2 linked regions of the Callithrix jacchus genome follow. The protein of the gene in region 1 interacts with the protein of each later gene in a pairwise test. Links are inferred from orthologs where the notes say so. Each region holds a gene or a part of one and is shown on either strand. Other genes may lie near its edges. The genes, in order: SIAH1 and PEG10.

Evidence for each region.
Region 2: the proteins of SIAH1 (region 1) and PEG10 interact in binary tests that used the Homo sapiens proteins (3 or more experiments, as listed by UniProt). The link is inferred for Callithrix jacchus from reciprocal best matches to the Homo sapiens genes SIAH1 and PEG10.

What each region holds. Positions count from the first base shown.
Region 1 is NC_133521.1:6,074,728-6,077,690, reverse strand, and holds the end of SIAH1 (E3 ubiquitin-protein ligase SIAH1), read left to right. Parts: intron 1-363; exon of another isoform or gene 364-386; intron 387-501; coding exon 502-1,352; coding exon of another isoform or gene 1,353-1,455; 3' UTR 1,456-2,431; downstream 2,432-2,963. Other genes in the region: LONP2 (lon protease homolog 2, peroxisomal), read right to left, coding at 1,336-1,455. UniProt on the Homo sapiens protein: E3 ubiquitin-protein ligase that mediates ubiquitination and subsequent proteasomal degradation of target proteins.
Region 2 is NC_133512.1:54,929,044-54,932,872, reverse strand, and holds part of PEG10 (retrotransposon-derived protein PEG10), read left to right. Parts: intron 1-441; coding exon 442-1,642; coding exon of another isoform or gene 1,643-2,790; 3' UTR 2,791-3,829.

The sequences.
Region 1 (2,963 bases):
GTTTTATTTTAAAAATTTTGTATTATTTTAAAATTTTTCTGAATGTTTTCAATCCATGGCTGGTGAAGTCCTCAGATGCAGATTCTGTGGTTACAGAGTGCCGATTTTACACAGGATCTTACCTGTAACTCCTTGTGCCTATCAACAGCTGACTCAGAATTGGAATGAAATAGAGTAAGGGAATCTCAGAGGAGAGAGTACTATCAAAATGGATTCGATTAAACTTCAGTTCGTTATATAGTTTCTCTAGTTTATGGTCCATTTTCTATTTAAGATGATATTTACTTTTTTTTTTTCTTAAAGGGAGTTCCAAATGTGTTCTGGAACATTTTGAAAATAGAGCTGATCCACTGTACAGATCCTAGTAATCAAAGTGCACATTCAGTGTAATTTTATTTTTTTAGTATCTTTTAAAAAATACTTCTGGCATATAAACATTATTTATAAAATAAGTCATGGTTGTAATTATTTTTCTCCTGCTTCCTTATGTATTTATTTCAGAAATGAGCCGTCAGACTGCTACAGCATTACCTACCGGTACCTCAAAGTGTCCACCATCCCAGAGGGTGCCTGCCCTGACTGGCACGACTGCATCCAACAATGACTTGGCGAGTCTTTTTGAGTGTCCAGTCTGCTTTGACTATGTGTTACCACCCATTCTTCAATGTCAGAGTGGCCATCTTGTTTGTAGCAACTGTCGCCCAAAGCTCACATGTTGTCCAACTTGCCGGGGCCCATTGGGATCCATTCGCAACTTGGCTATGGAGAAAGTGGCTAATTCAGTACTTTTCCCCTGTAAATATGCCTCTTCTGGATGTGAAATAACTCTGCCACACACCGAAAAAGCAGACCATGAAGAGCTCTGTGAGTTTAGGCCTTATTCCTGTCCATGCCCTGGTGCTTCCTGTAAATGGCAAGGCTCTCTGGATGCTGTAATGCCCCATCTGATGCATCAGCATAAGTCCATTACAACCCTACAGGGAGAGGATATCGTTTTCCTTGCTACAGACATTAATCTTCCTGGTGCTGTTGACTGGGTGATGATGCAGTCCTGTTTTGGCTTTCACTTCATGTTAGTCTTGGAGAAACAGGAAAAATACGATGGTCACCAGCAGTTCTTCGCAATCGTACAGCTGATAGGAACACGCAAGCAAGCTGAAAATTTTGCTTACCGACTTGAGCTAAATGGTCATAGGCGACGATTGACTTGGGAAGCAACTCCTCGATCTATTCATGAAGGAATTGCAACAGCCATTATGAATAGTGACTGTCTAGTCTTTGACACCAGCATTGCACAGCTTTTTGCAGAAAATGGCAATTTAGGCATCAATGTAACTATTTCCATGTGTTGAAATGGCAATCAAACATTTTGTGGCCAGTGTTTAAAACTTCTGTTTCACAGAAAATAAGACACCCATCTGCCTGCCAATCTAAAACTCTTTTGGTAGGTGAAAGCTAGACACATGAAGGTAAATAAAAAGAAAGGCTGTTAAATACAGGAAACAGTTGCATGTAGTAACACTAATATATTTAAAAATAAGTCAACAGTAAACCACTGAAAAAAATGTATGTATATACACCCAAGATGGGCATCTTTTGTATTAAGAAAGAAGAAAGCATTGTAAAATAATTCTGAGTTTTGTGTTTGTTGTAGATTGTATTGTTCAAAAATAATGGGTTTTTTGGTTGTTTCTGCGTGTGTGAGTGCGTGCGTGAGTGTGTGCGTGTTTGGGTTTTTTTCCTTTAACTGACAAGCCATCTTGAGTGGTCATGGGCCACTGCTTTTCCCCTTTGTGAGTCAATACATAGTGCTGCTGTGTGCTTTTGTGTGTGTGTATTTGCTAATTTTTATTAATTCTAGTTTTTCATTAAATAAATTTGACTTTCTTTTCTGTAATTCAGGTTTTTCCTCACTTTTTTTTGTACCATTTTAAAGTTAGTGTCTTTTGATATGCATAATTGTTCATGGTAAAATTTATAACATGCATTCAATACATACTTTCTTTTCCCCATTGATCAGTTCATTAGAAATATTTTAAAATCAGCTATTTTATGAAGCTATGAGTTCCAGAAAGTAAAGATGACATTGGGAAAATTATCAAAAGCTATTTAAAGCATCTATAAGATGGTTTCTCTTTCTCTCTTCTACAGATGAGTCACACCTTTGAGCTTAATCTTTGAAAGGTTAGAGAATCAGTTGATTCTTATAATGAAAATCGGGTTTTTGTTTCCTTTTTCAAATATCTTGGACAAATCATCTGTTTAAAATTTGTTCTTGTATTTATTGGTTTTGCCGAAGAAGGCATCGTCATGCACCGTATTTGTAATTAAAAGCAAATCATTTGTTTAAAAAGGCAGTTTGCAAAAAAAAAAAAAATGTTTTTGGTCTTTTATAATTCTCATTAAAAGAATATCTGGCAAATTAAAAAAATCTTACTGTGTCTGCTTTAACGCTAAGTTTGATAAAATCCAAACTTATTTTCCTGTTTCTCTAATTATATAGCAGAAAGCTGTGTGTTGTCATTTTAAGTGTGGTAGAGTTATATTCTAAATCACAGCAAATAACTGGGTATATGGCCTCTGGATTACAGTCTCTTCCCCTCGACACCCCCCCCATTTCGATTCTTACAACTTTGTCAGGAGAATGACTAAAATGGTGACCACTTTTCACCTCCTTAAGAAAGCACAACGAAAGAATAAATTTACTATTTCATAGCCTATTGGCCAAGAGCCTTGGTTCTGCAGCCAGACTTCCAGGCACCTGGGTGCCAGTCTCAGCTCTACCACATTTCAGCCCGTTTCCTAATGTGTAACGTGGGGTTAAATTATGGTAGATACCTCTAAAGTTTAAATGGGCTACAGGTGCATTACCTGAAACAGTGCTTTGTTCATATCAGCGTCCAGTGAATGTTAGCTACAGTTGCACCTTTAGAACCATGTAGTTAACTGTTGCTCGTTACTTT
Region 2 (3,829 bases), on another chromosome or scaffold:
TCGTATTGACTATTTTTGGCCTAGCTTCTCTAATAACAAAAGTTATTGTTTTGGCTTTAATTTGCATAATTGATTTGGTATCCATGTTTGCCTTGAAGTTTCTTTGCCTTGAAGTTCTGTTTCAATAGGAAACTACTTGTTTAGAGGCCTTAACATTCTCTTATAGTTTATAAAGGTAAGCATGCTGTTGATAATATATTATTGAATCATAATCAACAGGTGGTCTTTGAGAAGGACAAGGTCATTTGAACATCAAAAAGTAGTTTGCTTTTTGTATGGTGCTGATTGATAACTTCCCTTTGAGAGTTTGTTTTTGTTTGTTTGCTAATTATTAAAGTAAGCACATAGAACAAGGGATAATATAAATATCAAATCCTTTGTGTCTACATTTTGCTGCTTTGAAGGTATAAGTTAGATTTATATGTTTATCTTTATTTACAGAAATAAGCGCGTTTTGAAAACAAAAAAAAGAAGGAGTGGAAGAGGGGGCCAGGATCCAGGCCTCCATCCCCACAGAAGTGAAGTTACAGCTGGGAGGTCTCCTCCCACCCCAACCGTCACCCTGGGTCCCGACTGCCCACCTCCTCCTCCTCCCCCTCCCCCCAACAACAACAACAACAACAACTCCAAGCACACTGGCCATAAGAGTGCGTGTGTCCCCAACATGACCGAACGAAGGAGAGATGAGCTCTCTGAAGAGATCAACAACTTAAGAGAGAAGGTCATCAAGCAGTCTGAGGAGAACAACAATCTGCAGAACCAGGTGCAGAAGCTCACAGAGGAGAACACTACCCTTCGAGAGCAGGTAGAACCCACCCCAGAGGATGAGGATGATGACATCGAGCTCCGCGGTGCTGCAGCAGCTGCTGCCCCACCCCCTGCAATAGAGGAAGAGTGCCCAGAAGACCTCCCAGAGAAGTTTGATGGCAACCCAGACATGCTGGCTCCTTTTATGTCCCAGTGCCAGGTCTTCATGGAAAAGAGCACCAGAGATTTCTCAGTTGATCGTGTCCGTGTCTGCTTCGTGACAAGCATGATGACCGGCCGTGCTGCACGTTGGGCCTCAGCAAAGCTGGAGCGCTCTCACTACTTGATGCACAACTACCCGGCTTTCATGATGGAAATGAAACATGTCTTTGAAGACCCTCAGAGGCGAGAGGCTGCCAAACGCAAGATCAGACGACTGCGCCAAGGTATGGGGTCTGTCATCGACTACTCTAATGCTTTCCAGATGATTGCCCAGGACCTGGATTGGAACGAACCTGCACTGATTGACCAGTACCACGAGGGCCTCAGTGACCACATTCAGGAGGAGCTCTCCCACCTCGAGGTCGCCAAGTCGCTGTCTGCTCTGATAGGTCAGTGCATTCACATTGAGAGAAGGCTGGCCAGGGCTGCTGCAGCTCGCAAGCCACGCTCACCACCCCGGGCGCTGGTGTTGCCTCACATTGCAAGCCACCACCAGGTAGATCCAACTGAGCCGGTGGGAGGTGCCCGCATGCGCCTGACCCAGGAAGAAAAAGAAAGACGCAGAAAGCTGAACCTCTGCCTCTACTGTGGAACAGGAGGTCACTATGCTGACAACTGTCCTGCCAAGGCCTCGAAGTCTTCACCGGCGGGAAACTCCCCGGCCCCGCTGTAGAGGGACCTTCAGCGACCGGGCCAGAAATAATAAGGTCCCCACAAGATGATGCCTCATCTCCACACTTGCAAGTGATGCTCCAGATTCATCTTCCGGGCAGACACACCCTGTTTGTCCGAGCCATGATCGATTCTGGTGCTTCTGGCAACTTCATTGATCATGAATACGTTGCTCAAAATGGAATTCCTCTAAGAATCAAGGACTGGCCAATACTTGTGGAAGCAATTGATGGGCGCCCCATAGCATCGGGCCCAGTTGTCCACGAAACTCATGACCTGATAGTTGACCTGGGAGATCACCGTGAGGTGCTGTCATTTGATGTGACTCAGTCTCCATTCTTCCCTGTCGTCCTGGGGGTTCGCTGGCTGAGCACACATGATCCCAACATCACCTGGAGCACTCGATCCATCGTCTTTGATTCTGAATACTGCCGCTACCACTGCCGGATGTATTCTCCAATACCACCATCGCTCCCACCACCGGCACCACAACCACCACTCTATTATCCAGTAGATGGATACAGAGTTTACCAACCAGTGAGGTATTACTATGTCCAGAATGTGTACACTCCAGTAGATGAGCACGTCTACCCAGATCACCGCCTGGTTGACCCTCACATAGAAATGATACCTGGAGCACACAGTATTCCTAGCGGACATGTGTACTCACTGTCTGAATCTGATATGGCAGCTCTTCGAGATTTTGTGGCAAGAAATGTAAAGGATGGGCTAATTACTCCAACAGTTGCACCTAATGGAGCCCAAATTCTCCAGGTGAAGAGGGGGTGGAAACTGCAAGTTTCTTATGATTGCCGAGCTCCAAACAATATTACTATCCAGAATCAGTATCCTCGCCTATCTATTCCAAATTTAGAAGACCAAGCACACCTGGCAACGTACACTGAATTTGTACCTCAAATACCTGGATACCAAACATACCCCACATATGCCGCGTACCCGACTTACCCAGTAGGATTCGCCTGGTACCCAGTGGGACGAGACGGACAAGGAAGATCACTGTATGTACCTGTTATGATCACTTGGAATCCACACTGGTACCGCCAGCCTCCGGTGCCACAGTACCCGCCGCCACAGCCGCCGCCTCCACCACCACCGCCACCGCCGCCTCCATCTTACAGTACCCTGTAAATACTTGTCATGTCCTTCAGGATCTCTGCCCTCAAAATTTATTCCTTTTCAGCTTCTTAATCAGTGACTGTGTGCTAAATTTTAGGCTACTGTATCTTCAAGCCACCTGAGGCACATCCTCTCTGAAACGGCTACAGAAGGTCAGCGCCACCCTGGACTGGCACACATCCTAAAGCACCAAAAGACTTTCAACATTTTCTGAGAGCAGCAGAGTATTTGCCAACGAATTATCTCTCAGTTTTCCACCTTGACTACCAATCTAAAATAATTAATAAGTTTACTTTCCAGGCAGTCCTGGAAGTCTGGGTTTTACTTACTAAAACCTCTATCATCATCTAAATTATAGGCTGCCAATTTTCTTGTTTAACATTTACAGAGAAGCTGATACAAATGCTGATTTCTTCATGGAGGGGGAGACAAGGAGGAGGAGGTGGAGGAGGACATGACTTTTCTTGCAGTTTCAGTACTCTCTTTACATCACTAGAGGACCGAGTCCTTATTAAGGAAGCCAAAACTATTGGTGCAGTGTGGAAAGGCTTCCGTGATCATCCTGCTGCACCCTTAGAAACTTCACCATCTTCAAACTCCATTTCCATGGTTCTGTTAATTCTCAAGGAGCAGCAACTCAACTGGTTCTCCCAGGGGCAGGCAAAACCCTTGCTACATGAAACACCTCAGGCCCTCTCAGATGGACTCTTGTATGTTAAGAGTGTGCCATCACATCGTGGTGCAAATCGCATGTACCCAAGGACTCTGGCTTTGACACACACCTTACCATCATCATGCCATAATGGCTTCCACAAAGCATTAAACCTGATAACCAGAGATTACTGGTGGTTCCAGGGGTGTTAGAGGTTTGTGAAATGTGACCACCTCTCAATCACCTTCGAAGGCTAAAGAGTGGCAGATCAAAAGGACTCCAAAATCCCTTACCCACCTTTTAAGAGACTTGTCCTGGTACTTCAGAAAGAATTTTCATGAGTGTTGTTAGTTGACTGGAAAACCACCAGCTGACGTTTTGGAAGTATCTATCCATGTG